4 linked regions of the Rhinolophus ferrumequinum genome follow. The protein of the gene in region 2 interacts with the protein of the main gene of each other region in a pairwise test. Links are inferred from orthologs where the notes say so. Each region holds a gene or a part of one and is shown on either strand. Other genes may lie near its edges. The genes, in order: RNF135, GOLGA2, TSSK3 and HDAC4.

Evidence for each region.
Region 1: the proteins of GOLGA2 (region 2) and RNF135 interact in binary tests that used the Homo sapiens proteins (3 or more experiments, as listed by UniProt). The two-hybrid records come from large-scale screens. The link is inferred for Rhinolophus ferrumequinum from reciprocal best matches to the Homo sapiens genes GOLGA2 and RNF135.
Region 3: the proteins of GOLGA2 (region 2) and TSSK3 interact in binary tests that used the Homo sapiens proteins (3 or more experiments, as listed by UniProt). The two-hybrid records come from large-scale screens. The link is inferred for Rhinolophus ferrumequinum from reciprocal best matches to the Homo sapiens genes GOLGA2 and TSSK3.
Region 4: the proteins of GOLGA2 (region 2) and HDAC4 interact in binary tests that used the Homo sapiens proteins (3 or more experiments, as listed by UniProt). The two-hybrid records come from large-scale screens. The link is inferred for Rhinolophus ferrumequinum from reciprocal best matches to the Homo sapiens genes GOLGA2 and HDAC4.

What each region holds. Positions count from the first base shown.
Region 1 is NC_046304.1:20,582,860-20,591,279, forward strand, and holds the start of RNF135 (E3 ubiquitin-protein ligase RNF135), read left to right. Parts: upstream 1-5,344; 5' UTR 5,345-5,416; coding exon 5,417-5,758; intron 5,759-8,420.
Region 2 is NC_046295.1:77,183,888-77,191,630, reverse strand, and holds the start of GOLGA2 (golgin subfamily A member 2), read left to right. Parts: upstream 1-4,464; 5' UTR 4,465-4,561; coding exon 4,562-4,609; intron 4,610-6,105; coding exon 6,106-6,222; intron 6,223-7,185; coding exon 7,186-7,266; intron 7,267-7,743. UniProt on the Homo sapiens protein: Peripheral membrane component of the cis-Golgi stack that acts as a membrane skeleton that maintains the structure of the Golgi apparatus, and as a vesicle thether that facilitates vesicle fusion to the Golgi membrane.
Region 3 is NC_046292.1:22,209,209-22,216,352, reverse strand, and holds TSSK3 (testis-specific serine/threonine-protein kinase 3), read right to left. Parts: upstream 2,376-7,144; 5' UTR 2,110-2,375; coding exon 1,965-2,109; intron 1,312-1,964; coding exon 647-1,311; 3' UTR 594-646; downstream 1-593. Other genes in the region: protein FAM229A, read left to right, coding at 2,721-2,857, 2,939-3,085, 3,312-3,414. UniProt on the Homo sapiens protein: Serine/threonine protein kinase required for spermatid development and male fertility.
Region 4 is NC_046291.1:1,453,225-1,460,789, reverse strand, and holds the start of HDAC4 (histone deacetylase 4), read right to left. Parts: upstream 3,256-7,565; 5' UTR 3,166-3,255; intron 1-3,165. UniProt on the Homo sapiens protein: Responsible for the deacetylation of lysine residues on the N-terminal part of the core histones (H2A, H2B, H3 and H4).

The sequences.
Region 1 (8,420 bases), on a different chromosome or scaffold from region 2:
AGGCAGTAACAAAGTTGCTTGAGGAGAGAAATTGGGATTCTTAGGAGCCCCTCAGAGGGGCAGAGAAGAGACACAAGAATAGCAATAAAGTCCCAATGAAATGGTTTTGGTTGGTTTCTGAGGCCTGGCTGGAAGTGTCTTTGGGTTCCCTGAGGATGACTCTGTACTCTTACATTAAATCCTAGTCTCCCTTTTGACTTATTGGTACAAGGAAGTTTCTGTTACTGGAATCTGCCTGCCTAAGAAAGCTCTCAAAAAGAGGTGCTATCTATGCTGAATCCTGAAGAATGAATAGAAGACACTTGGGTTGGGGTGGGGGAAGGCAGAGAAAGAAGTGTACAAAGGCCTAGAGACATGAGAGAACATGGCCTGTTCTGGAAACTTCAAATAATTGAATATGACTAGAGCACAAGTTGTTGGAAGAGGAGAAAGAACAGATTAGACTGGAGGAGGGTCTACTTCAATAGTGGTGGAATAGCTCAGATCAGAACAACCATTCCACAGATAATTAGAAACTCTGTACAGACTATGACAAAACAATTATCTGAAGGCTCTGGAAAACGACCTAAAGCAGGCAGAGACTAGAGAGAAGTTGGTACTGGAAAGCAAGAACTAGCATGGGTTTCTCATTTTTTAGCTTTTCACCCCAGGGGGCCACTAAAACTTTGATGGAAGCCTGCGTACATCCTAATTGAAAAGTAGAGGACAGAATTTAGGGTGACTATAGCAGCTGGCAAATGAGAGAGGGAAGTCTGGGAGGCCACAGAGGAGGAGCCCAGAATTCTACATATCATCTGCCTACTCTCTGGAGGAACATAAAAGAATCTGGAGTTTGACAATGTATTATGAAGAATATCAGGATTATAGCCCTAAATTAGTAGACATATGAAGAAGCAAGAAAATGTAAATTATACTGAAGAGAAAAATCAATGGAGACTGAATCCAAGATGTCCCATATATTGGAATCAGCAGGCAAGAAGTTTAAAGCAGCTATTGCAACTATGCTCAATAAGTAAAAGAAAATATCATAATGAATAAACAGATATGAAATTTCAACAAATAGAAATTATGACAAAGAACCAAATGAAACTCTAGGACTGAAAAAATACAGTATGTGAAAAAAAAAAAAAACTCAGCCCAACAGTAAATTGGAGATGATTGGGTATCAGTGACTTGAAGACAGTAATAGAGCAATGGAAATTATCCAATTTAAAAAACAGGGAAAAAAGGGAATGAAGAAGTGAAAAAGTCTCAGTGACCTGTAGGACAATATCAAAAGCTCTAATTTACATGTAATTGGTCTCAGAAAGAGAAGAGAGAACTATTGAGGCAGAAAAAAATATTTGAAGATATATTGATTGAACTGTTTCCAAGTTTGGTGAAAGACGTGTAGAGACTCAAGAAGCTCAGTAAACTCCAAGTAGGATATATACAGAGAAAACCACATCCACATTCATTGTTGTCAATCTGCTGAAACAAAGATAAAGATAAAATCTTGTACAAACTGTCAGTTATAAAAACAGTCACAGGGATGTAAAGAACAGCATAGGGAATACAGTCAACAATATTGTAATAACTATGGTATTAGATAGGTACTAGACTTATTAGGATGATCATTTCATAAATTATTAAATATCTAATCACTATATTGCACACCTGAAACTAATATTGTATGTCAATGTAATTGGAAAAATTTAAAAATATTTTTAAAAGAATAAACAATTCCAATTGGAGAAAAAAGAAATATCTTGAAAGCAGCCAGAAGAAAATGATATACAAGGTATGGCAATTAAGTTCGTGAATTCATCCTAGAAAAAGTGCTACATACCTCATTGCTGAGTATCACTATGGTCAACTTCGAAGTACTTCCCTTGGGAAGCTATGCACCAACGCCAGCACCTAGTCCACCCTTCAAAGCAATTTTTTAAAAAATTATTTTTAAAATTATTTTTTTAATTGGGGAATATTTGGGAACAGTGTTTTTCCAGGATCCATCAACTCTATGTCAAGTTGTTGTTTTCAATTTAGTTGTGGAGGGTGCAGCTCACTGGCCCATGTGGAAATCAAACCGGCGATGGTGTTAGGAGCACTGCACTCTAACCACTGAGCCCAGCGATTCAGTTGCAAGCTCAAGCAGTTGTTTCTCACTGGTCCATGTGAGAATCGAACCAGCGACCCTGGTGTTATGAGCACTGTACTCTAACCATGGAGTGAACCAGCCACCCCTCAAAGCAATTTTGGAACTCTTTCTGGAATGGCCATCACAGCTGTCATCATACTACCCTTGATGTCCTGAATATCATCAAAATGTCTTACTTTCAATATTTCCTTTATCTTTGGGTAAAGAAAGAAGTCTTTGGGGACCAGATCAGGTGAGTGCGGAGGGTGTTCCAATACAGTTATTTGTTTACTGGCTAAAAACTCCCTGCCAGACAGTGCCATGTGAGCTGGTACGTTGTCGTGATGCAAGAACCATGAATTGTTGGCAAAAAGTTCAGGTTGTTTTCATCTAACTTTTTCACGCAGCCTTTTCAGCACTTCCAAATAGAAAACTTGGTTAACTATTTGTCCAGTTGGTACAAATTCATAATAATTTGTGAATAATAATTTGTGAAAAATAATTTGTGAATTATGATTTCTGATATCAAAAAAGTTTACAACATCATTGCAACAAGTTCGCTAACATAATTGTCAGACCTCGTATGCATATTTTTGTGGCCGAGAATTATTACAAAGTGATAAAAGTGATTAGAAACTGATAAAAGGCTTTCATGCACATATATTACTATAGAATATAGTTCTGTGGATAAATTGGAATGGAAATACAAGTTCAAGAAGATGAAAGAATGATACAATTTCCGATGTAAATGAAAAACTTGTTCAAGTATTATTTTTTTAAACTTTTATTTATTTGTGTTTTTCCACAAGCCATCAGCTCCAAGTCAAATAGTTGTTTCATTCTAGTTGTGGAGGGCACAGCTCACACTGGCCCATGTGGGGACTGAACCGGCAACCTTAGTGTTAAGAGCACCGTGCTCTAACCAACTGAACCAACCAGCAGCCCTAGTTCAAGTATTTTTACAGCTAGGGTTGAATACTTCCACCCTTTCTCCTTTTCTTGTAATCACTGCATGTTTTTGCCTAAAACTTTTAGGAGGTGCCCAAGAAAAATGTCTGAAGACCACTGGTTAATCCACCCTCTCAAAATACTTGGGTGTGTAATGGAGAAGAAAAGGAGAGGTACCTAAAGGGAGGCTTTTATCAAAGGAGACTGCATTCTTTAAGATGGGAAATTTGAGCTCGTGTGTTGGGTTATTCCTATTTTTCAGAAAAGAGAGGATCAGAGAAGCTATGAGTTTACGCCAGATGAGGAGACTCCGCAACAAAATCCAGGTAATACAGTTGACCCTTGAACAACACAGGTTTGAACTGTGGGCATCTACTTATACATGTACGATCCTGGGACTCCACAGATGCAGAGGCTGGCTGTATGCATTGATCTACAATAGGGCACTTGAGCACTTGAGTGGATTTTTGTAGTAGAGGGGGTCCTGGAACCAGTTCCCCCACCCGTGGATACTGAGAGACAACTAAGTGTTGGGGGAGTCAAAAGTTACATGTGGATTTTTTGACTGTGCAGAGGCTGGCACCCCTAACCCCTGAGTTGTTCAAGGATCAACTGTACCTCAGTCAGGATAGGCTATATTATGCTGCAGCAGCAAGCACCCACTATATCTCAGTGACCTGAACATATCTCGTGTATTTCTCTCCTTTACTACACATCAGTGTGGGTTGGCAGGTGATCTGCTCATCTTAGCCACTCAACTACTCAGGCCCCCAGATGATGGCTTCATCTCTGTAGTCAGGGCAGATGGCAGAGATACAATGACTAAGTTTTTTTAAGCTGGTAGGAAGTTAACAAGTGTTACTTCTGTGTGTTTCCAGTGGCTCAGAGAAGTGCCAATCCTACCAGGTGCCTAGAAAGGGAAACTTCGATGAGCAGCGCGAATAGGTAAATTCTATTGACTACTACCTGTCATTTCCAGTATTGCAAATTGCCACACGTTTGTATTATCTGGTACCTACTTTGAGACTGGATAAGACCGGGGCAAAATAAAATATAAGACATTGTTAGTTCATTTCAAAAGATCAGAGATGGGTTCTGGTCTCTGCCACTCAGTTATTGCTCTGTAAGTCTGGAAGTTCCTTTGCCTCTTTGGATCTTTGGGGAGGACTTGTGCTCTTCCAGTTGCAACGTTTTCTGGATGTAATGAGCTTAGGACCGGAGTAAGAGCGAAGGAAGAAAGCAAGCCCAACCAGGACCAGATGTGCTAGCTACAAAAAACCCCCACTGTCTAGTATTTTCGTCCCGAAGCCTGTTGTGTTAACGTGCTTTCAGCCAGCAGACAGCAGTACTGCTTTCAGCCAGCAGAGAGCAGTAAGGAGATACCACATTATAATAGCGATTTTAAAAGTCTAGAGTTACTCAGTTTTGCGCGTTCGAATCACCTGGGGGAGGTTTTTCAAAAATCCTGAGTCCGCGATGCACCGCAGACAAAGAAATCAGACTCTGGCAGCGGAGACCGAACATTGGTATTTTAAAAGAGTTTCCCAGCTTTGTGCGCTGGGTATTCTTGAATCCCTACTGCTTGTTAGAGGGGCTGGATGATACTTAGTCGGCACATCCTCTTTTTTTTTTTTTTGGACTTGGCTACCAGGCACTCCTGGCTCTGCCATTTATTACGGTCCCTTGTGAGGTTGAAATGGGGTCAAGATTGAAATACAGATTGACAAAGATTATATGTCCAGTCAGCTTTAGATGATTTTCATAAAGTATTTTGAATACAAGCCCCTTCTTTTTTGGATCAAGATAAAGGGCTGAAAAAAGAATACCTGACCAGTAAGATGGAACCAGAAAATTCAATATTTTTTTTTCCTTTTTTAAATTCCTTCTTTTTTTTTTTTATTTATTGGGGTGACAATTGTTAGTAAAATTACATAGATTTCAGGTGAGTCGGCACATCCTCTTGAAAGAGTTCTGGAATCGAATTCTCTGTTGTTTCTTCTCCCAAGAGCTGTCAGGGTTGCATTTTAATGGGGGGACATCAAGCTAGAGAAAATCTTCGGGCATCAGCGGGCTTCCTAAGGCTTGGGGCGAGCTGATTTCCCAGCGCAGGAGGCGGTGGTGAGGACTCGCTCTAGCCAGAGGGCGCTGCAGGCTGGGCGGTGGAGACTCTCGGCTTTCAGCGGGACCCGAGAAAGGAAAAAAGCTTGGATCGCTACGAGTAGAGGAAGAGGCAGCAAAGGAGGAGGGGAGAGGAAGAGCAAGGGAGGAGCAAGGGAGGAGCCGGAGGAGACGTAGCGCGGGCGGGCGGTCCCCACTGTGGCCCTGCTTCCGGACGGCGGCCTGGTCACAATGGCGGGTCTGGACATCGGACTCACGGTGCCGGTGTGGCTGGCCGAGGACGACCTGGGCTGCATCATCTGTCAGGGCCTGCTCGCCTGGCCCGTTACGCTGCCCTGCGGCCACAGCTTCTGTCGGGACTGCTTGAAGGACCTGTGGGGCGCAGGGCGCCACTGGTCCTGCCCCACTTGCCGCGAGGGCTCCGAGCAGCAGCTGGAGCTGCGGAAGAACACGCTGCTGCAGGACCTGGCGGACAAGTACAGCCGGGCGGTGGGCGAGCTGGAGGGCGGCCCGGGCCCGACCCGGAGCCCCGGCCCCTCCCCGCGACCCGCGCGCCGCACCGGGCTGCAGAAGGTAGGGTAGGCGGGTCCGGGTTCCCGTCTCTCCGTTACCACTATCTGCCCACGCTTCCTGCACCGCTTTCCCCCATGGATCTTCCTCCCTCCCTCATCCTTCCTACTTTCACATTACTTTTCTCCATCTAAAAGTAGAACCCGCTCTTTGGAAAGTTCAGAAGAGTATGAAGAAGCAGAAAAAAGTCCAAATCTCCTGAAATCCTTTCAATTTAGCTGCTATACACCTTGGCATATTTCCATTTCTTTGCAGTCTTTCTGCTGTCTGTGTCTCTGGCAATTTTTTTTCTGTTTTGTTACTTCGTTTGTTCTGTTCTTTAGATTCCACATATAAGTGAGACCGTATGGTATTTGTCTTTCTTCGTCTGACTTATTTCACTTTGCATAATATCCTTGCACAAGGTAAAATTTCATTCTTTTTTTTAAGGCAGAGTAATACTCCATTGTATATATGGACCACTGTTTCTTTATCCAGTAATCTTTTGATGAGCATTTTGGTTGTCTGGATTTTTTAATTGTGGTAAAATACATATAACAAAACTTGCCATGTTAACCATTAAGTGTACAATTTAATGCCTTTATTATATCCACAATGTTGTGCAGCCATCATTACTGTCTATTTCCAAAACTTCATCACCACAAACAGAAACTACCCACTAAGCAGTAACTTCTCATTCTCCCTCCTTGCAGCCCTCCCTGCCTCTAATCTTTCTGTCTCTCTGAATTTGTCTACTCTAGATGTTTCATGTAAGTGCAATTTGTGTCTGGCTTCTTTCACTTACCATAATGTTTTCAAGGTTCATCCATGTTGTACCATGCATTGGAACATCATTCCTTTTTGTGGCTGAATAATATTCCCTTGCATGTATATACCACTTTTTTTTTAATCCATTCATACATCAGTGGACATTTGGATTGTTTCCGCCTTTTGATGATTGTGCGTATTATTGCAGTGAACGTTGGTGTACAAGTATCTGAGTCCCTATTCTCAGTTCTTCTGGGTGAATACCTAGGACTGAATTTGCTGGGCCGTTAGTGTAATTATACGTTTAACCTGAGAAACAGCCAAACTATATTCCACAGCAACTACATCATTTTACATTCCCATCAACAAAGTTAGACGGTTCCAGTTTTCCCTGGCTTTTTCTTGTGGGACTTAGGTGGTTTATTGTGTCTTTCAACTAGAATCTTTTGTCCCAAACATCCGCTATGGTAGTTTAGTTCAGCTTGCAGCGTTTGCCTGAGTTAGGTGAAACAAAGATGAGCACACTGTGCCATTCCTTCAGGCAGCCCCTAGCCAGGTTTGAACAGACATACAGGACAATTTCTGAAAAAGGTCTGCTCTGCACCTTCCAGAACCAGGACAAGGGTTCCAGGATTCGTGAATACTGAGGGAGTGGGGATGGCCAAATAAAAACACCACGAAACTTTCCTAATGCCAGGTTGCTCTTTTTTGATTCAGTGTTTTCCAGAGTTCTGGCAAAGTTGGTTCTGATTGTTTCTGCTTGTTTTTCAGTGTTTCTGTGTGTGTGTGGCGGAGGTGGGGGGGTGAGGGGGGTGGGGTGCGGGGATGAGAGCTTAGAGTAGCCCACTACACCCGATTGCTAGTCTCTGCAGTCCTTTTAAATAGAGTTGAGGTCATGTTGTATAGGCAGGTTATGTCCTCTTATTTATTTATTTATTTTAAGTAACTATGGTTTTTGTGATTAGTTTCTTAATCTTTTAAACCTCAGTTACTTTTTTAAAAATTTTTAAGTGTGTTTTTCCAGGACCCATCAGCTCCAAGTCAAGTAGTTGTCTTCAATCTAGCTGTGGAGGGCACAGCTCACAGTGGCCCACGTGGGGATCGAACCAACAACCTTGTTGTTAAGAACACCGCGCTCTAACCTACTGAGCTAATCGGCCGCCCCGTCCTCTTTTTTTAAAAAAACTTAACTAACAGATTTTATTTCTTAGAGCAGCCCTAGATTTACAGAAAATTGAAGAGGTGCTCCAGAAAGTCCTCACACACCCCTCACGTTCCCCATATTATTAATGTCTTGTATTAGTGTGGTGCATTTGTTACAATTGATGAACCAATATTAATACATTATTATTTACTAAAATCCTAGTTTTCATTTACGTAGGTAGGGTTAACTCTTTGTGTTGTATGGTTCTATGGCTTTGACAAATGCATGAGGTTATGTATCTACAATTATGGTATCATACAGTTTTAGTGCCCTGAAAATCCTGTGCTTCTCTTGTTTGTACCCCTCACTCCAAACCCTGGCAACCACTGATCTTTTTGCTGTCTCTTTAGTGTTGTCTTTGCCAGAATGTCATATGCTCATAGTTGGAATCATAGAGTATCAGGCCTTTTCAGACTGGCTTCTTTCACTAAGCAAAATTAAGATTTGTGGCTCGATAGCTCATTTCTTTGTATTGCTGAATAATATTTCATCGCATAGAGTGGACCTTATACCTGAGACAGATGCCTTCCCCTGCACCACTCACTGCCAAATCTCCAGGCTGTCACCCTATTTCTTCACCTTTTGATGGACATGCTGGTTGCTTCTATTTTTTTTTTTTTCAATTATGAGTAAAGCTTGTTCTCTTAGATTATAAATGCAGCATTATCCTTCAGGTCCTTAAAATTCTTTATTAATGTAGTTTATAGTGACCGA
Region 2 (7,743 bases):
CTGTGCTCCTAACTCCAAAGGCTGCCGGTTCGATTCCCACGTGGGCCAGTGGGCTCTCAACCACAAGGTTGCTGGTTCAATTCCTCGAGTCCCGCAAGGGATGGTGGGCTGCGCCCCCTGCAACTAACAACGGCAACTGGACCTGGAGCTGAGCTGCGCCCTGCATAACTAAGATTGAAAGGACAACAACTTGAAGCTGAACGGCTCCCTCCACAACTAAGACTGAAAGGACAACAACTCGACTTGGAAAAAAGTCCTGGAAGTACACACTGTTCCCCAATAAAGTCCTGTCCTGCAGCAGCTGGACCCACAGCCCCTGCCTTGAACACCATCCCAAATGGTCACCGGCCACAGTGTCCACCAATCCAAGCCAGGTGATGCATCTGCGGCCACCTACACAAGTCCTTACCTCCCAGGTGGGCTGTCTGAGCCAGCGCAGACACACAGGTATCTGTGCCTTGGCTAAGCCCTCAGGTCAGTGAGACTGTGTTCAAGGAAGAATAAAATACCCCTTTAAGTCACACAGAGTCGCCCTTGCACTTTTTGCCTCTACAGCAAGTCAGCCACTTGAGGCCAGGATGGTGTCTTAATCAGTGTGAGTAGGCCCCAGAAGACTGGGAACCCTAGTCTTCAGTGCAGCAGGTGGGCGAGCCCATGCTCAAATCTGCCTGCAGCTCCAAAGCAGATTCTACAGTGGAGGGGAAAATCCCCAGGGAGCTGTACAGCTGCTTCGCTAGGTGACCGGAGGGCAGGGGCACTCAGAGAATGGAGCAGCTGTGAAGGGTGGGAGGGTTGGCACGTGAGAAGGCCCAGGAGCAGAATGCAACCACCCCTGGGGGGGGATGGGGATTCCTTCCAAGCCCTGATGCTCCCCTGGAGTCCCGCGTCTCACCGAGTTTGCCCAGCAGCATCTGGCCTACGTCCTTGATGTCGTTGTACTCGTGCAGCTGGGAGATGTGGTCGTCCAGTTCATCCACACTGTAGCCTCTGGGTCAAAGGGTGGAGAGAGAGAATCGTTAAGAAAGCTGATGAGGACGCAAGGTTCAGAGAGTAATGAGGCATCTACTTAACAAATGGTCACTAAGGGCCTACTAGGTGCACTACACTGGGGACATAGAGATGGCAACACAGACACTGCCCACTGAAGATTACAGCAGGGCAGGGGTCAGCCCCTGGTACATGCTCCCTGTGCCCTTAGGGAGGAGTCCCAACCACACTGCTACTGTGACCCTGGCCACAGGTGGGCACACCAGTGGCTAATCAGATCCCCTCAAGTGAAATGCACATTCAAAAGCTGCTTAGTCTGTGCCATGTGGCTGGAGCAAGGGGTGTGAGAACACGCAGGAGTTGTGCAAGAACCAGCACCTCCCAGGCACTGAAAACCCCACCTGCAGAGACAGAATGGAGTCCGGGTGCAGACAGGTGCAGAGCCGAGAATGTGGGCCCTGGAGAGAGACTGGGAGAGCGATAACCTCCATTCCTGCCAGCTTTCCAGTCCTAGCTCTTGGTCCACCCAGCCTGACCACACCCGACCCCAGAGAGGCTGCTGAGACACCATGAACCCAACGGTATGGTTCTGTTTTTATGCTGAGCTAGTATGACTGCGTTGCAATTACTGGGCTCGAGTTAAAAGTTATCTGAACGATGCTGAGGAACCCAGTGAGACTCACTCAGATATTAACTGGGAGAGCTCCTTGTCCAGCACGTCCCTCTTCTCCTTCAGTTTCTGAATGTCAAGGTGCACAGAATCCTCGTTGGCCCCAGCAGCCTGGCCAGACTTGGGAGACGGCCGCTGAGTGGCACAAAAAGTCATTAGCCAGACGGAGCCATTGTCCCCCATTCACAACCTACACGTTTTCCTCAATATTACCACGTCTGCTTGGTAATAGACACCTCCCCACGCCCGAATAAGACCACATTTCCCAGCTTCCCTTGGAATTAGATGTGGCCCTAAACCTAAGTTCTGGCAAATGGAACTTAATCAGAAATGGTGTATGCAACGGGACACTGGAGCTGCGCAGTGTCTTGGATGATGAGATAGACGCCACGTTGAAGATGAGGTGCAACAAGACAGAGCCCTGGGTCCCTGATGACTGTTAAAGCCATTATTATTTGGGGTTTTCATTCACTCCCAGCCAAACCCAATTCTAACTAAAGGACCATATCTGACTCCAGAGAATCCACGTCAGGTCTACTTGGATTCTTCTCTCAAGTCTATGATGTTGCTGGGTTTATTTCATTGGATAACAAAATCTTTCTCTGGGACTACAATTCATCTTTGCCCTTTCTGCCTCTCAAAGCTGCGAAGGCGAGTGCCTGGTATGCTGCTACTGTTCAGGAAACGTGTGTTGGATCAACTGTATGAACGCTACCAGAACAGACGGAGGAAGACGTGGTTCCAATCTTCCAGCCAGTCAACAAAGACTACCAGGAGCTGACAAAGGCTCCAGGGATTCACCAATGGAGAAGACAGCAAGCCTGGCCCCTGCCTTCATGGAACCGATAGCATAGTCCCAAATATAAAACACCAAACAACTATGCTCTTCTTGCAGAGATCTCCATTTAAAGTTCTACTCACAGGTCACACTTCATCAGAAAGGCCTTCTCTGACCACCCCATTTAAATGGGTACTTCTCAAAGACTCACTATCCCTTTGTCCTGATGTTTTATGACATCTGTCACCACCGGACATGTTATGCCTTTCAGTGAAAATATTTTCCTTTTCCCTCCTTTCTTCTGCCACCCCACCCCACCCCACCCCACCCCACCCCCGTTCAAGCCGTTGTTTCTCAGTCTAGTTGTGTAGTCCATGCTGGTATTGAGTCTTGCGCTCCCCCAGGCTGAGGCAGTTGGTCACAGGTCAGCCACTCACAGAAGCTCACACACCCTCCGGCTGCTCACGGGCAGCCCAGCTCCAGGGAGAGTTGTTGTTCACAATCTTAGCTGTAGAGGGCGCAGCTCACTGGCCCATGTGGGGATTGAACCGGACGCCTTGGGCTTTAGGAACACGGCACTTCTACAGCCTGAGCCACCGGGCCAGCCGGGAAATATTATTTTCATTGTCGGCCTTACACCACTGGAGTGTAAGGTCCATGAGGGCAGGGACTTTGTTAGACTCACTGCTGATTGCACTGTGTCTACAGTAGTACCCGGCACATAGTAGGCATTCAATTTATCTAATGAATGCATGAATTACAAATAACTAATCAACTAACTACAAGTCTTTGAAGTTGAGTGCTTTGAAGTTGAAGTGCAGTGTGCTACAGGCGTGTCTAACAGGGTCGCTGGACTGAGCTAGAAGTGGGGGTGAGGCTTCTCTGAGAAGCTCAATTCTACAGGATGAGTAGACATCAGCTTGGCAAAAAGCTGGAAAAGTATTCCAGACAGAGGACAGACGGTACATCCAAACGCCCTAAGACAGGAGAGAGCACATATGTTGGAGGGAATGAGAAGGGTTTACCTGTGGGTGGGATGGGTGAGGGAGGGCATGGTGGTGTCAAAAAGAACCAACCCCTTGTGGTGCTGTCAGGAAGGAGAGACAGAGCCCACTTGGAGAGCCTGGGGTGCCATTGACAAAGACAGGGCACTGCTTCTTCTTTGAAGCTTGGTGGGCACGAGGAAAAGAAGGGGAAGGGCTGAGAAATAACCCAGAGTTTCTTCGGATAAGGGGAAACCTTGGAGAGGGCTGGGGGTGGGTCAGCTGCTGTGGGGATGGAGAGGACGGCTAGGAGCAGCAGTACTTACACGGTGGAGGGTAAGGGGGGCGCAGGCATACTCACAGGGGATCGGAAGGCCCCGCCGCAACTTTTGGAAAGTCCTGGTTGAGTCCTGGAGAGGAATCCGAGGGAAAAAATGGCTGATTGGACCTAGAATTCGCTCCGGGAAGAGGGGGTACTGTGGGGGTGTTGGAGGAGTTGGGAAGTAGGAGCTACCGGCACTGGATCCAGTCGGGAAGGGGGCAGATACGCTCCCGGGATCAGGGTGGAGATCCTCGAGGAAGGAGAGATTCTGATAGGATGGAGTGTGTAGACTGGGTCGGGGTCTCGAGGTGATCTCTGGGATGAGAAAGTCTGGGGCAGACTTATGGGAGTCAGGTCAGGGATTGTGAAGGGATGAGTTTTCCCCCTGCAGCCCGCTCCTAGCCCACCTCCTGAGCCCTGGGGTCCGGGGCCCCCGTTTCGAGGGGGTTTGCTGTGCAGAAGGGTCCAGGGCGAGGGACGGAGCGCGGCCTCTCAGGTCCGCGGGTTAATCAGAATCCTGCGATGGAGCCCAAGAACCGTCACACAGCGAGCTGCGCGCGCACCCTGAGAAATAAGGCCCCGCCCCTCCCCGAGGTGGGCGGAGACAGGGGCCGCACGCACATCTTTTGTCGTGACGTCTTTCTCATAGACCAATAGTATTAGAGAATTGAGGCCCCGCCCACACCGCTGCGGCCTAGTTACCCCGGTCCCTCCTTTTGTGGCTCCGTCTCGCACTTGCGCCGTAGCGACCGGAAGCACACTCCGCAGTGGATGTCGGGTTGTGGCTCAAATTGTCCCGCCTCCTCCGCCCCCGTCCCGGGATGTCGGAAGAAACCCGACAGAAGAAATTGGCCGCGGCCAAGAAAAAGGTAAAACGTGCCGGGTCGCGGCTCCCTGACCCAGCCCAAGGCCCCTCCGACGGCTGGGCCGTGGCCAGAGTATGTGCCGCCTCGGAGGCACACGGGGCAAGCCCCTCGGAGCCTGTTGGCTCCCCACCAAAATCTTCTCACCAGTCCCACCCCCCCACTCCCCGGCAGCCCAGCCCCCGCCCTCGCTTGTCGCTCCCGGGTGACTTTGGGCCGGTAACCCCCGGGACTCCCGGCTCGGCCCTTGTCTCCTGCCGCCAAGAACCGGACCTTCTGGGCTCTCTGGGCTCCGTGGGCTCCCTGGACTCCCAGTTGCTAAGGACCTCGGTCCGGGCCCTGCGCTCCCTTCCCCCTCCGCGGAGCGGCGACTGGGGCATCCATAGGGAAGAGTGGAATGTAGTTACGTCACAATCACCCTCGGAACCGTCTTTACAGCCGCGAGCCAGGTGTTCGATCTAAAGACCCAGCCTCCTAGTGTTTTCGCTCTCTCCGTTTTCTTTGGTCGCGGCACAAATTTCCACCTTGAAGGGGACTCGGCACTATGGGACCTAGATCGGAGAGGTTTCAGGCTTCCTGTAGACTGTACCCCATGCTTAGACACTGATAGCGTAAAAAGCCTACATTTCACTAGTGATCTCAAAACGTTGACCACATCTCTGGGTGGCAATGGGGAGAATGTGTTTAGTTTGGTTTTCTCCCGTTTCCAGTCCCCAGAGAGTGTTCCTAATTTTTAATCTGAATTCTCTACCTCACGTTCTAATCATGCCCTATGATCCTGAGACCAGATTCGCCCTCAATCAGTGTTCTTTGGTGTGAGCTCTGCTTGTCCTCTGTGGAGCAGATCCCGAGAAACTGCTCTTCACAGCTGGGAATCATCCCCAAATCATCATCTCAACATGGGGGGCTCTGAGTGCCACAGGATAAATATGGGACTGAAGCATCCGTTTTGCTGGAGGCTCTTGAGAGAGAAAAAGCCTTTTTATATTAGTGCATTTAGGGATTACATTTACATAGATTTGTAAGATTATAATAGACGTCTCTCAAAATGGTGCTTGAGTTGTCTTTGCTACAATCGCAGATTCACTAGGGGTGTGTCTTCACTGCCTTCTACCATTGGGCTCCATTGATGTCAAAGTTTGAGAAGTACTGCTGTGCATCTCAATAGATGTATAAGAAGGGACCCTCATGCCTGATCACTTCAATGTTTACTTTTCCACCTCTGCCTCTGATTTTGCCCCCTGGCAGCTGCTGCTTTATGGCATAACCCCTGGACCTCAGCGTCAGAAGACTGAATTTAAATTCCATTATTGCCTTTTTTTTTTTTAAAGGCTATGTGATCAGTCCCTTTCTTCAGCCATGAAGTGAGAATTACAACACCTTGTAGAGTTGTTGTGGCATCGCATCAAATGGCGCATATGAGTATTTTGTAAACTGTAAAGTAGGATGTGAATACAGGGCTTTATAGTTCTCGTGAGTCTTACTGCGTTTCCTCTCTGCAGTTGAGAGAATTTCAGAAGAAAAACAACCTTGGTGTTCCTTCAGGAGCAAAGAAGAAAAAGAAAAGTAAAAATGGCAGTGAGACAACCACTTCTGATGGTTGTCACTCGCCTGAGGAGGTGAGTCTTGGCTGGCCAGGCTACTGGGGATGGAAGACTAGAACTTAGTGGTTAGATTGTGGAAGAAGTGTCAGGTACTGGTTAAGAAGTCTGGATTTGAATCTTATTTCTCCCTCTGCTAGGGATATGATTTGGGGAAATTCTTTAAGCTCTTTGGGTCTGTTTCCACATCAGTAAAATCCGGGTACTACTTACTTACCCTCATGGAGTTTAAATGAGACTGTTGTTTCTATCTGAATCCCTTAAATACAGAGCCTGGTGTAGAGTAAACATTCAGGAAAGGGGAGTTGCTATTGGACTTACTGCTCTGGTGGTTTTCCTCATCCCCAGCCTCAAGGGGAGGCCACTTACTATCAGGCTCTCCCTTTAGGAAGCACCAGAGGAGCCCCCGGGTGTGGTGAGGAGAGCCCTAGGCACTGGATTAGGAGTTTCGAGCTCATCTCAGCCACAGCTTGCTGGGTAACCTCAGGAAAAGGACTTCCTCCCCTGGGCCTCAGTTTCCTCATCTGTAAGATGATATTGTTGGATCAGATAATGTCTTCCAAACTTATGTTTTAGCTGTAATCCCCTTTGGTTCAGCAAACCTTTACTTGGAAATCGAGGTTTTAAAATGGAGATGAGGGTCTGGAGCCCTGCCAGGTTCGCCTCTAGCAGCCTGGGCCTGAGGAGAGGGGCTAATGGGCATATTCAGAGCTGCACTGGTCAGGTGACTCCACTCTTTGTGAGTGCATCGTTCAGGGGACTTTTCCATCTGTTCCTTGGCGTTGATTTCTGCCTCTGGCAAGGCAGCAAGCGGCTGTTTGGAACGATGGCACAGGCCGTGGTGTTGACCTTCTTCTCTCTCCTCTAGCATTCTCTTTCCCGGAACCCATCTCTTCTCCCTTCCCTGGCCCTCTTGCCTCTCTCTAAGACACTTTTCTCTGTCTCTCCCTGCCCTTGTTTTTCCCTTTCCGCCTCCTGTAGATTCAGGACATTCTGAAGGTGCTGGTGTCCGACCTTAACCGCTCCAATGGGGTTGCGCTGCCCCCATTGGACAAGTGGAAGGTGAGGCATGCCGAGATCCCCTCTCTGGCTTGCTCTCTGTCAGCTCTGCACGCCCCCAAGGCTTCTCTGGTTTGGGGGATACTTTGCTTCTGGCTTCTTTTGTGTTGCTGTCATTAACCCTCGGCCTGTTCATGTCTGCTTTTTCACCTGCTTGATTGACTGGGGTTTTTTTTTTTTCCCTCCCCCCATATCTTTCAGCATCTTGGAAAAGTTGAGATGTACCTTGAAGTTTTTTTTTTGTTTTTTTTATTAAAGTTTATTGGGGTGACAATTATTAGTAAAGTTACATAGATTTCAGGTGTACAATTCTGTATTACATCATCTATAAATCACATGGTATGTTCACCACCCAGAGTCAGTTCTCTTTCCATCACCATATATTTGTACCTTGAAGTTTAAAAGTAGTTTGGGAATAGTTTCCAGAGCAGGTATGTGGGATTTGCGCTTTTTGAGCCTCAAGTGTGAATGTCCAGTGGT
Region 3 (7,144 bases), on a different chromosome or scaffold from region 2:
ACCTTTTCCAGACTTGCCGTTAACAGCATTAAAGAGATTCACCAAAAGCTGGAAGCTGTCTGGGGGTCTGTTCTTGTCCCCCACGGCAGCTGCCTTGGAGCCAACGCAGGGCTCACCATGTGTGGAGTGGCTTCCAGCTTGGAGCCTGGGGAAGGGGGAGGGCTGGGGGCTAGCCTGGTCCTGAGGAACTTCCTGTCCTCATCCCAGACTCAGTTTGGCCTTTGGGATGAGGAAGGGACAGGGCCCCCAACAGGCCTGTGACCAAGACGAGTCAAGAGGCTGGTTCTGCATTCCCAACGCTTCTGCTTTTATTTGGAAAGGAAGTTGCAGCAACAGTGGCTGCGCTTGCTCTGGGTCATTGTTCTCCTCTCCTCCCCCTGTATGTGTATATTTCTGGGGTCTATTTTTAATTAACTTTAAACACTTGCATGAAAATCACTTGTCAGTCGTAATAAAAGGGAAGTCTGAATGAGACCCTCTGGTTCCATGAAGATCTTTAAGGGAAGGAGAAGTAAGGCTGGGGAGGGTGTAAGTAAGTTTTAGGATAAGTAAACTTAAAAGTGTAAAATATATATCACCAGTTTAGAAGCAGGTTTTTGGGTTTGCTTTCTCCCCCTGCTTTATTGGGGAGGACTTGCCATTGCTTTTATGAAGTGCTTGCTAGCCATGGATGCCAACTAACTTCTTCGATTGAAGGCCTGAGGATCATGTCTGGTTCTAGGAGCTGCTTAAGCAGGTCCTGGCATTCAGCCGAGATGCCCAGATGAGTGGGGAAGGACACCCCCTTCTGCTGCTGCCACAGCATCTTGGGGATGTCTGTGTCGTCAAAAGGTAGGCTGGCACAGAGCATGACGTAGAGGACGACGCCCAGGCTCCAGACGTCACCCTTCTTGCTGTCATGGGGAATACCCTGCAGCACCTCGGGGGCAGCGTAGGCTGTGCTGCCGCAGAAGGTCTGGCTCAGCTCCCGGCGTGACTTGGGCAACACCTTGGCAAAGCCAAAGTCAGTCAGCTTCAGGTTAAAGCCCTGCAACAAGGCATTCTCACACTTGAGATCCCGATGGGCTACGCCACAGTCGTGGCAGTAGCGGATGGCCTCGACCATCTGACGGAAGAGGGCCTTGGCCTGGCTCTCAGGCATTGGCCCCCCATTCAGCACGCAGTCAAACACATCCCCTCCCTCAGCCAGCTCCATCACCAGGTAGATTTTCCCGTCTGCAGACTCCAGCATCTCATACACCTGGATGATATTCTTGTGGTCCAGAGTCCGGACAATCTGGAGTTCCCGAGGCAGGAATCTCTGGATAAACTCTGAGGAAACGAGGGAGAAAGAGATGGGGCATCAAGTCCAGAGGGGCCTAACTCTTCCCTCCTGTCTCCTGCCTTCCAACATCTGCCTGCCTACCTGCCTGCCCACACACCATGTCTGGTTCTATTACTTTTGTAGTTAATATTCAAAGGAACTACTCCCTGCCAACCTCAGGGACTCTTGTGAGCAGCCCGTGAGATCATGGATATCCAAATCTTGGTGGGACTTTCAGACCAAGCCACTGAATCTGTTATGAGGCTGCCCACAGCATGTGAGCCAGCTCTCACCCCTGCCTCATGACCCACAGTTCCTTCCATGAGCCCAGTCTTGTTTCCCATTTCTACCTACCTCTATAGCAGCTCCTGCCCTCTGGCAGCCCTGGCCATGGTCTTTCTGCCAATCTCTATTCCCCTGGCAGGCTCAGGTTCTGCCTCCGACGACCCTTCACCCTACCACTTTAACCTTGGATTTTGGAGGGCATGATGTTCCTGGACTCCCAGCATCCCTCTGTTCCCCACTGACCTACCCCAGAGCCACAATCTCTTGCTTCGCTTGGTCACAGACTAAAAGGGGAGGAGAGAATGGTCCTTCTGACTGGAGGAAGCACCCGCCCACCTCAGCCAGCCCTCCCTTCTCCAAAGGGGCCCCAGCTCACCTTCTGGCCCTCCCATCTTGTCTATAATTTTAATTGCCACCTTTCTTTGGTGTTTTTTGGAAAATGCTTCTTTGACTTTTGAGTAGGTCCCTTCCCCAATGGTCTTGCCCAGCTGGTATCCATTGGAGAGCAGAAAGTCCTCCATGCTGTCTAGCGCCTCCTTTCTTCCTATCACCCTCTCAGCTCATGCTGCCTCTCTGAGGCAGCTCTACTCCACCATCGCCCTTGGCCCGGTCCTTTTTCCCCCAAGGACTTCATCCGCAGCGGCCTCCAGCGTTAGAACATTCTCCGTCTGGACAGAGCAGCCGCAGGTGGTGGGGAGGGACAGGGCCGGACATTTTAAAACTCCGGCCCAATTGTGATGTAAATGTGTGACCCTTGGCCAAAATGGGTAGTACCCCTACCTGCCCTCACCAGCACCAACACCAAACAGCACCGGTTAAGTCACTGCCGCGCTCCCGCCACCACGCCAGGCAGTGAGTCGCAGCCCCTCCTGGGGTGAGGGTGGGGCACTCCGGGGTGTCCGCGCTGCCCAGGATGCCAGGCTCCTTTTCGTGGATGCCGCCTCGCAACTGACTGTCGTTTCTGCCTGCGCCCCCATCGGGCCGTTGGGGATCTGCGCCATCCAGGCTTAAGGCGCTATGGCGAGAGTCCTCCGGCTCCCGGCTCGCGGCCGCACTAAGTGCTGGGGCAGCGGAGGGTTCCCGGCTGGAGGAACGGGTTCTGTGAGGTCAGCGAGCCGAGGTCCGGGTCACAATGCAGCCCTCCCCCTCGACGCCCGGGACCGCACCCGCCGCAGACACCTGCCCGGCTCCTCCTGGACCGGAGCGTCCTCTCGCGGCCAGGGCTCAGGCAGCTGCTTCCAGCCTGGGACCGGCCTCGGCCTCCGGCAGGTGAGCAACGACCCACGGGGCGGGTGCGTGGAGGGGACGCCTGGAGGCCCGGGAGTGGCCTGACCGCTCCTCGCCACGCAGAGCATCCGGGGTCCTGGACATGAGTGCCCAGGAGCCCCCGCAGGTTCGAAGATTTCCCATTGAGGCCGGAGACTCCCCTAGCCTTGCCGCCGCCCCCGAATCCCAGGACAACCCAGAGCCGGTAGCTACAGAGCACAACCCGGTCAGGTGAGCAGGCGCCCTCCCCCGCGGCTCGTCCTGCGTCCCGGAGTGCTCCCGGCCGTCCCTGTCCCCGGCCCACTTTTCATCCCCACACTGCCCCCCCACCCCCCCACGTAAGGGCCCCACATCCATTACCGAACCTCGGGTACCCCCAAGTGCACTCCCTGGATGCGTCCCCAACAGGATGGGCCGGCCCCCGCCTCAGGGTCCCCTGCCGCGTCACTTTCCCCAGGCCGCTTCGACGCTGCCCCGGCTGCCACTGCCTGACGCTGCTGCACGTGCCCATCGACGTCTACCTGGCTATGGGCGGGAGCCCGGGGGCCCGCGCCACCTAAGTGAGGCTGCGCACGGCGTCTCCGCGGGAGCCGGGCGGGGACGTGGCCCGCTGCGGGCCACCACGCTGAGGTCGCGCGCGCCGAGCACGAGACAATGATGCACATTTTAAAATAAAAGAATGATGCACATTTTAATAAAGCACAGCATAAACTGTTCTTTCCACTACAGGCTGGCTGTGTGTCTCTGTTCCTTTGTATCGGGCCTGCCGCCTGCTCCTCCCCATCCCTGAGCACCTTCCCTTCGGCTGCCTCCTCCCTTGGATCCAGCCCCAGGAGCCCCCCTTTCCTGGTCCGCTTTCTTCTGTCTGGGCGCTAACGCCTCCCCCCATTTTTTTGCTAGTTAGGACCCCTTCCTGTACAGCTCCCTCGGGCCCTGCCTACGTCATTCTCCCCCATCCCTCGCCTTAGTTCTCCAAGGAAATCACATCACTCTGCTGAACTCTGGAGGCCCAGAGAAGCTCGGGATTGGGGGAGGGCGGCAGACAACTTAGAATAAAGAGAATGACTATCCACACCGCGCTCATTTAATTCTCCCAAGACGGAATTAGGTTTTGCTACCTGCTGTTTTGTGATCCTGGGCACCTCTGGTTTTGTTGAAAGAGTTTAGGGGCTGCCCCGTCCATTTTGCGCCTTGGTTTCTCCTAGGACTGGTGGCACCAGAAAAAAATTGGGGAAGAAGTTGTTTGAAAAACTTTGATTTCTTATTCCTATTTTACAGGTGAGAGAACTGAGCCTTGAGAGACTTGCCTGGGGTCCCCCTAGCACACTCCTGTGTCTTCAGACTTAATGCCCTAAAAGCCATCCATCCATAGGAGGGGCCATGACATAAAGTTGCCTGGAAGTGTAATATTTAAGCTGAATGGGTATTTCCCACTTTCCAAGTTTGTTTTAATGAACCTGTATTATTTTAATATTGGAAAAAATATACGTAACCTAAAGATCAGGTTCAGTCTCCTGTCCCCTGACATCTAAGTACAATTGACTCAATACCCCTCTCCTAATCCACATGGGGTAGAAGCCCAAGCTGTCCCTGGAGCGCTTCAGAATCCCATGGTTACCAAAAAGGTGACTTCTTGGCTTCTGCACAAAATGCTCTCCCAGGCAGTGCCAAATGTAGGAGACTTACGGAAGGAGAGGGTATTTGCTGAAAAGCATATACTCCTAAGTGAAGACTTTAGACTTGACCATTCAACCCCTGGTCCTTTAAACGTCCTGGCTCTTGAAAGCCCCTCCATGCCTACGTTTCCCCTTCACGAGAATAACCTCTGGCTTCAGGCCCTAGTGCTGGCTTCTCTCTCCTCCCTCACACTTACCTCCTGGAGAACATCTCAGGGACTCTCAATACTTCTATTAAGTGGAATAATCCAGTTTCTTCCATCCCCACAAAACTCCACGCAGTCTCTACTCAGCCTAACAACCCATGGGGGTGCTCTGCAGAAAAAGGGCCTCCCCTACTTCCCTGTAAACAGTACGCGCTGTTTAGGAGACCATCATCATTTTAGAGAGAAACAAATTATCAGGCTCTGTGTTGATAGGGTCTCTCCATTGCAAGCAGCTGAAGTTAGCTTCAGCAAAAAAGGGATTGATTGTTTCAAGTGGCTGGGAAGGATATACGCTAGTGATTAAAGGAAGAACTGTAGGAACCAGGGCATCTATGGGGTTGGAACCAAGTATTCAACCCCACCAGGACGCCCCGTTGTTCCTCTCTCATCCCTGATTGTCTCCTGGGCAGAGAACATAGCTGCACCAGCTTAGAAATCCCAAGAATCCCAGTCTCCATATAGCTACCCCTGGAAGGGCAGTGTTTGGCCCTTCTTAAATCACATGTGCACTCCTTGGGCCAATTACCATTGTTAGGGAGATGGGAGACTATAAACGGCCAGGCTGGGCTATAGATAAACCTTCCCTTGAGGTGCAAACACAGCCAGGTGATTGACAGTATCACCAGAAAAGAATGGGTAAAGATGGGGAAAAAAATACTTCAGGAGAAGAGAGAGCTTATGCAAAGGTTGGAAGACTGGATATGCCTGAGAGAAAAAGAAACCGGAAAAGAAGGGGTAGAGAGTGGCAGGGGCCAGGGTGACAACTCTGTTCCATGGCAATGAGGAGCCTTGGACAGTGTGACCAGGTGTCGGGCTTCTGGGTTCTAGTTCAGGCTTTGTCCCTGACTCAGACAATACAGGTCCACCAGGCACTGGGGATTCAGTGGAGAACTTGACCTCCATGGGCCTTGGCTCTCATAGAACTCACATGGCCTAGCAATGACCTACTGGGAGGTCTCACTCAGACAAGTCCCTTCCCTCAGGGACCATTTCCTCACTGGTTAAAAAAAAAAAAGGCACCAGCTGATCTCTCTGGACCTTGCCTGCCCCCAAACTGCTGAATCCTTCCCATTCTTCCTTTCGTCTCCCTCACTTCCCTTGTCCCATCTTCTCAATCCTCCTTTCCTTTAAAAAAGATTTACTGCCACCTTCTATGTGCTTGGGTAGTGAGTGATGCACAGATTCCGGACACACATCTTGCCAATGGACATTCTAGTTAGCTCTAGAATGTCCATGAGCAGGAGAAAGGGCATTCCAGGTGGAAGGAACACTGTGGGTAAAGGCCTGGAGGCAGGAAAGTGGAGGGAAAGTTTAAGGAATTCATTCAAACAACTTTCACCTATACCTACCTGGGCCCCACTGGGTGCTGAGAGGCCAGGTCTGAATCTGACAAATCCCTTGCCCTTGCAGAGCTCAAAATTTAGGGGATCCAGGATGAGTTCACAGAAGAGAAGCTAGATCAAGAAGGCCTTGAGCTTGAACTTCGTTCTGTAGGTGACAGGGAGCATGACAGGCTCCAACCTGGGTCACGTCCCTATATTTCTCATCTTCTTTTCCATTCCATTCTCTGTTGCTGCTTCATCTTTCCCCCTGGAAAAGTTGCTGGCCTAAATTCTCATCCTGGGTTTGAGTCCTGATTGCCATTTACTAGCTGTGCAAACTTGGGCTAGTTACTTAGCCTCTCTGAGTCTCCATTTCCAAATCTGTAAAATGAGATTAATGACACCTGGTAGAAGGTTTAAGCAGTTGTGTGAGTACAGCACCAGGTAGGAATCTCTGGCACAGCCAGCAGCACTTGATGAGCAAGAGAAGCTGCTGTGGCTGCTGCTGCTGCTGCTCCTACCTTTGGCTTCCAGGGGCAGCAGAGAGCCAGCCAGTCACGTCCCCAGGGTCTGGGTGATGCCCAGCCTTGGAGAGGGTTGGGGAATCCCTCTTGCTTCCCTCTGCCAGCTTCCCAGCAGTTCTGCTCAGGAGCCTAGGAACTTGATGGGGGGCATTTACAGGCGAATCCCCAGGGGTAAAAGCAGAGCTGCCTCCTGTACCCTAGAGGGTAAAGCTGTCCCCAGACCCACAGATCCCAGTCTTATTCTCTAGGTCTGAGGAATCGGGAGGGGCCCCAGGAAAGGGGGACGCTTGAATCACTGCCTTCCTTGACTTCTCTCTCAGACACCTTAGTAGCCAGCCCCTCCCTAACAGACCCCCTTTTAGAAGGAGGGGGCGAAGTACAGATGGACCCCCAGGTTACCATGGAGATGGCAGGGAAAGGGTTGCTGTATCACCATGGCAACAGTTGACGTCAGTGCTACCCTTTCCTATCACTTGATCTGAGAGGGGGGCAGCCACCCCAACCACAAGCAAGTCCCCCACAAAGCCTCCTTCCCTTACTGAGCCAATCAACCTAGGGGTCG
Region 4 (7,565 bases), on a different chromosome or scaffold from region 2:
AAGACAACATGACCTTATGAAAAGAACTCACAGACCTTGCTTCAGTGCCCTTTTTCCCCAAAAGAATCGCTCTGCGCACGCCCGTGACAGGTGTGCTATTACACTCTGTGCACGCCTGTGAAAGGTGTGCTAGAATGCTCTGTGCACACCCATGACAGGTGTGATAGAATGCTGTGCATGCCCGTGACAGGTGTGCTAGAACACTCTGTGCACGCCCGTGGCAGGTGTGCTATTATCCTCTGTGCATGCCTGTGACGGAGGTGCTAGAATGCTCTGTGCACACCTGTGACGGGTGTGTTAGAACGCTCCAGGCACACCCATGACAGGTGTGCTAGAATGCTCTGTGCACACCCGTGACAGGTGTGCTAGAACGCAGCTATACTCTGACACAGGCCCTCACTGGACTTGAACCAGAAGGTGCCGTACCTTCCTCTCTAAGGTCAAGGCCAAAGGCACCAAGCCCAGTGCACTCCCCAGCACATGCTGACCATCTGCCATTGAAACAGAAACCCCCTCCAAACTCCATCCCTGCCCCCACCCCAGGGCCAGGGACTTGCCCTCTGGCGAGAAGGGCAGGTTCACAGGCTGCAGGGCGCGGTTCAACGGCCCAGGCTTCCATGTAGGCTGGGCCCCTGGTCTCTCCAGCTGCCGTCATCCATTCTGGCCCAGGGACCAAACGCCTGGCCCAGCCTGGGGCCCGTTCCTCCCTGTGTCTCTCCCACTCCCCACAGCAGGTATTAACCTATGACTCCTGGCAGCTTGGGAGTGATGAGAGCCCAGCCGTTTTCAATAGAGAATGGTAGGGACAAATTCTGCAGGAGTGATGAAATGTTTCTTCTGCTCCGGCAATTAAGACGGCACCAAGTCCCCTTTCCTCTGGTGCTACCCCCAACATCAAAGGATGAGAATTCAAAGCCATTCATGCTGCATTGAAACCTCACAATGAAGCTGGAAAATGGAAGTCGATTACTGGGCATAAATATGCAGGAGTTAAAAGGAAAGACTTATAACGAAATTAAACTGCAGCAACCCCACAATGTGTGGAAACTTCCAGAACTAGTCCTCCTGGTAAACATCAAGAGGGGTATCCTAGTAAAGCAGGTTCTGACCACCAGAAGTCGAGATCTGCTACTCCAGCTGCACCTGGCCAGGGTGCCATGTTCTGTCGATCTTGCTACAGTAACAGCCCCCAAGGAGGTTTTCCTTTTGCACAGCTGTAAAGCTGCTGACCACAGAACATTCTCTCTGGCTCAGGGCTGCTTAGGCCACATCTGTCCTTGGTCCCCAGGCCTTCGAGGCCGACAAGGAGCCTGCAGTCATCCACCCCCTACACACATCCCTACACACACCCCAGGGGCACCCTGCGGCCAGCAACTCTTGCAGAAGAACCCTAAGAGGACAGTGTTGTTACATCTGCCTGCCGCAAAAACCCTGCTTCTTTTCTGATTGATTACTGCTCTCTTTAGGAAGGTATCTGGTCTTTAAAATAAAAGCCCAGAACACAGAAAGCTGAAGAAGTCTCACAATGTGTCAGGGTGTGTGTTTTTAAGGCAGGAAAATACTTCCCTCCCACACAAATGTGAGTTCTGGGGAAAGATGCCACAGATCCAAGTGAGTAGAAAATCTGGGAAAGCTTTATCAGTCTTAAAAATAGATAACTGAACACAGATTTTAGAATTCTCAGGAGCTACCTGAAAGAAAAAAAAGAATTAAATCTCACGTATTTTCAATATCCCAAACTCCATTCTGATGAAACTTCTAACAGGGTAGCATTTTGCATTTCCAATTATAATAGAGTAATTGTGTTGCCATAGTTACTGCAAAATTCTGCAATAACTTTTGTTGCTTTGTAATTGCTGTAGTGTAGTGTATATTTGTGTACAAGCAGCTGAGTTTTCTTAATTCAACGGCTCTCCCTCTCCCCAGTCAGCACCACCTTTCCTGGCTGGACTGTGAAAACACCAAACCAGCTTTCACAGCACGGTCTCTAACATCATGCACAGAATTATCAGAAGCAATTAAAACTCCGGGCAACCACGATCGTATTACAAAAGAAAAAGTGAAACCAGGCCAAGGTGCAAACCCATCAGTATCACCCCGACCCTGCTGGGCTGGCCGCTGGGTGACGGCTGTTTACATGTTTACTCCCAGGCCTTCCACGATGAGGTGGTCGGTGGGAATAAACAGAGAAAAGCCTGCGTGGGGAGAGGAGAGGAAGCAAAGTGAGTACCCAGGCCCTTTCCTCCGTCAGGGAGGGCGGGCGGAGCTGCTCTCAGCAAGCAATTAGGTAGGTCTCTACAGCAATGCAATCAGGATTTAGTTAAGAAAGTCATTAGTTTTAAAATAACTTAAGTTTAATTTCTGCAACGCTTTATTTGAAAACCGTGTCACAGCAGGTCAATTTACAACATGCAATAAAGAAAACACTCCTATCAGCTGCTGCAAGTTATTGCAAATTTTTGATGTGCATTAAATGAGTACAGTGGGTTCCACCCCCGGCCTTTCCAACTGGTACGCACGGTCTCCTGCTATAACAGTGTCAAATAATTCAGCGTTAAATGTAAATACGAGATAATTTGCTTTATAATTCCACGGTGTGTGTTTGCAACGCCGGGAAACGCGCCCCACAGCCTCCGGCAGGACCGGGCCACATCTCGGCCTGTGGAAAGCCTGCGGGCAACCCAGTGGGGGTCCTGGGCAGCGCCCCCACCCCCGTCACGGGCCCGGCACCCCAGCCGCGAGCCCCGGGAGGGATGTTTTTCTGCAAACTCACAGCCCTGACAAAGTTACATAAACGGCGCCCGCCGGGCTCGGGGAGCCCCCGGCCCACCTGCCGAGAGCTCGGCCTGGACGGGCGGGCGGAGGCGCCTCGCGCCCCCCCGGAGGCGAGCCGGCCGCGCTGGGCCCCCACCGGCCTGGGCGGCGGGCCGTCGTTTTGTTTCGGGGCTGCAGGGAAGGTCCAGGGCAGGCTGCGGCTCGCGCTCCGCAACCCCACGGGCTGGGCGCCGCGCGCGGCCTGGGCGCACGGGCCGGGGCCGGGCTGGGCCGGGGGCGCGGACCCGGCGTCCACCTGTCGGGCTGGGCGGCGGGCGGGGGGCGTGGAGGCCGGCGGCCTGCGGGCGGGCGGCGGACAATGGCCCGCGGGCCGGGCCGGGCTGCGCTTACCGCGGCGGCGGGCGGGGAAGCGGCGGCGGGCGCTCCGAGCCGCATCTCCTCAGCCTGCGCCGCCACCACCACCGCCGGCGGGCGGGCGGGCGGGCGCTCGGGCGGCGGCGACAGCAGGGACGCGGCCGCGGCGCGCCGGGCCCAGGCGGCTGAGGCGGCGGCGCGGGCGGGCGGGCGACGGGCGGGCGCGCAGGTTCCGGCGCGGGCGGCGGCGAGGACCGTGCTCCGCGGCGGCGGCCCCACAACCTCCCCTCCTCATTCACAAAAAATTGACCCACGTTGAACCATGATGCTGCTCCCCCCGCCAGCACCGAGCTGGGCGCTCATAGGCCAACCCCGACGCCCGTCAGTCGCCACGGCCCCGCCCCCCCGCCGGCAACTCTGCAGCCATTGGCTGCGACAGCCTTGCATCACCTCCCCATGCGGGCCCCTCCTTCCTGCCCGGTTTCTAATGAAGAGCTCGTCAATTACGGCTCGGCCCCGCCCTCCGCCCGCCCTCCCTGGGCTCCCGGCCGTCCTTCCATTGGTCCGCTGCGATCCGGGGTACAGCCCAGTCTGCTCCCGCCCCTCGTCCCACGGCCGCCAACCGCCAGGCCAGACGCTCTACGAACGGCAGAGATGCTCCACCTCTGCCCGCCTTCCCGCATACGTCCTGGACCTCATTGGCTGCCAAAGCTGCCAATCACAGGGGGCGGGGCGACCAAAGGACGCTCCAGGCGCCAGCCGCTGGGCGCTTCGCGGTTGAGAAAGCGCAGGGAGCTGGGGCGAGTAGTGACTGTAAACACGGACCCTGGCCCTGGCCATCCCCGCTCGGCGGTCCCTAAGACCTGGCCCGCACCGGCCCAGCGGTCAGCAGCGCTTGCTTGCGCGCGTAGCAGGCGCACGCCGGGGCTGAGACCGAGGAGGGGAACCTGCCTGGCCTGGCTGTGGCCTCCATTTTGGATACTGGCAGCGGTCATGTGTTGCTGAGTGCGCCCAGATTCGCAGGGGCGGTGCGAAGGGATAGTGCGCAGGCGCGTCGGGCCCCGCCCTGCCCCGCGGCGGGAACGCGGCCTGCGGAGTGCTGGGTGCAGGCGGGTGGGCCTTCCCGGCGGCCGAGGAGCGGACCGACCGCGCCTGCGCCGGCAGGAGGGGACCTGCGCGCGAGGTGCCCTCCGGATGGGCACTGCGATCGCGAGTCCAGGCTCGGGGTGGTGGAGACGAGGGTCTTGCCCGGTAGTCGCCGCGGCATCTGAGTTGCTCGGGGGGGTCACGACCGGTCCTTTTGCCCCAGTGCTCAGCATTTTAAGGCTGCTGGGTGACACCTTGGGCTCTTGGAGGCACCGTGATCTGTCCACCCGCGGGCGCGGGCGTGGGCGTGGCCTCCGACGCCCACCCCCCGGTCGTTTCATTTCCACAAGAGTGCGATGCAGCTTCTCAGCCTCGGTGCACCTAGTGTTTTTAGGAATCCCGTGTGTTCCCCGAGAAAAACCACGTTGACAGCCTGTGCCAGTGCATGGGGGTTCCGGAGTTTGTGATTCTCCGGTGCGCTGCAGACAGTTAGCTGTGCTGTCAGACCCCTCGTCAGTCAGTGTTCAGACCTACGTGGTAATAGCAGGAGTCCGTGGAGAGGGGAGTCTTGATAGAATAAAAGACTTCAAACGTTGTATTCGAATTGCAGGATTTTATAATTGTTTTGTTTATAACAACGTGAATAAAAGTGCTGCATGGAGTCTATATTTTAAATTAAAAGGGTTGCATAATTCCTTTGCTTCCATAAAACCTTATATCTCGCAGGATACTTGGAAATCTCGCAGGATGTTTCACAACCAAAAATGGTGACCACTGCTCAAAAAACTTGAGATCTTAACGCTCAAATTTGGTTAAATGTGTTGATGCGCAACCAAAGCAACTTTTTTCCTAGAAAGCAGAATTTGGTAGATCATTTAAAAACTGCATTCAAGGGATGTTTTTTCCCTCAAGTACCAAAAGGTCCCTACTGGTCAGGCCCTGGTAACACCAACCAAGGACCCGCTTACACTAAACTACACAAAAAGATACACAGGCAGGTCAGATGGAAAGGAATATCAGCTATCTTGAGAACTTGGTCATGAGAAAAGAACAATCAATGGAGAAATTACCAGAGGTGACTAGGTTATCTGAAATTACCTACTGGATTAAAGAAGGGAAAGGAAAGGCCTGAACAGCCCACCGGTGACACCCTCAGTTCTCACTGTCCTGCAAGAAAAAAAGACACTAATCGATACACCTTCATCACTCATTAACCTCAACTTTAGCTTTTCCAAGTTTTATGGCCAGATGCTTTTTCAGGACAGAAAAGAAGAAGCATTTCTGTTTTAATCAAAATCACACCTTTGTGGTGTTTTGTTATTTGTTTCATAATGAGGAATTTAGGGGTATTGGGGGGTTTTTGTTGTTTTTCTTTTACCCCTCTAGAACTTAAAAGAAAATCAGAAAGCAGGTCAGTTCAATTGTCAATCTTAGAGTGATCCTAGAGGCCTGGCTCAGATGTGTGAATGCTTATTTTGTTGGCCTGTTCCTTTTAGAAGTGAGCAGAGATTAGTTTTAATATCGTCCTTGATCAGTGAAACTTGGAAGAAAAAAATGTCGCTAGGTAGATAAAAACAACAATTTTCAAAGTGAAAATGCACAATTTGATAATATTTTAAGTATCTTGAAGTAGGTAATGACTGAAGAACCTTGGTCATTCTAAGTAGAAATGCCTACCCTAAGATAGCTTAACTTTGAAGCAAACGAATGGTGAACTGCAGAACGTTAAAAGATACAGCTAAAGAAAATTGAAAATTACCACTAGGAATTTTTTTTCCCACCAATGGAAGCAGTATATTTACCAAAAGTTTGCATATGGTGAAAAGGACCCGTGGCTGAGTAACATTTAGATGATAAAAATTAAGATACGTTATTTCACAGATTATTGAAAGTATGCAATAATCAGGAGAAAATGCATGTAAGAGTAATTTTACAAGTGCAAAATGAGAGATGCATGCCTGAAGAGAAAGCTACATGAAACAGTGCTGGGGTATAATCCCAGGCAGGATGAATTAAAAAGTAAATTTCATCCCGAGGCATGAAGTGGCCCAATGCTGTGTGCCAGTAGGCCTCTCTGGAGTCCCCAGAGGTCCTCGAGGAACATGAAGCACATGGTAAATGCTGGGCCTGTGGACAGAACTCACCTTTTCTGGAAGAGAAACCTGGGAGCCTGGACGGCTGTGTCTGTCTTTAGGTCCCTGAGGGGCTGTCTGGCTGAAGGCGACCAGTTCACAGACAATAACGAGAGCTCAATGCCATAGAATTCTGCCCAGTAAAAGGAAGGTCTCCAACACGGGGGCTGGGAATGCGGGGGAGGTGCAGTGAGCCCTAACACTGGTAACACCCACCTCAGGCTTCATAGGACGGCGTCTTTCATCCTTCACAGGAAGTGTTATGTTTCCAAAATAAAATGAATCCAGGGTTAACAGAGAGAAACAAATCCTTTGATCAGAAAAAGCCCCAAAGACTCAAAAAAAAAAAAAATCTAGATTTAGAAGTTTAGCAAGGTAGCCAATTAAAAAATATACAAAAACCCCAATAACTTTCAGATATACTAACAACATTCAATCAATAATTATAAATGCTGTTTACTGAGCATCTGCTATGTGGCTGGCATTGTGCTAAGCACTGTATGTGCATTAGAAGAACATGATGGAAAATTCCCAATCACAGTAGCAAAAGAACATTTTAAATTCCTAACTGTACTGCTAAATCCCAATGGAACTTCGTGGGAATTGACAAAATAGTGGAATAGTTCAGCTAGAAGAATAAACATTTGAGAATAATGAAAAAAGAGAGTAATGAGGGAGAAACTGTGCTCCCAGAAAACAAACCTATTATCTAGGCTCCATAAGGAAAACACCATGTGACTGACTGAGATCATGGAAAATACTAGGAAGTAAAGAAACAATCCCAAACAAATGGAAGAACTCCAGCTGATACTCAGAAAGAAGACCACCAACAACTGGAAATAATCGATAAATGACTATGTTACAATTTAAATTTGGGGTACAATTAGCAAGGAAATAGATAAATTCCAACTGTGGCATATTCATACAAGGGAATATTACTCAACAAAAAAAAAGAATGAACACTGACACAGGTGCATGACAGTCAAAACATCAAAGGAGTCAAACACAGAAGAGTGTATATACTTTGTGATTCTGCCACTTTGAAATTCAGGAACCAGCCTAAAGAATCTATGAGGCTGGAAACCAGAAGCCTGGTTCTGTTTTAGGGTGGGGCAGGCGGAGGAATGATTGGGAAACAGGCACAAGAGAACTTTCCGAGGGATTGATGATGCTATCTGTCTTGATTGGGGTGGAGGGGGCGGGGTGGTAAATGCTTAC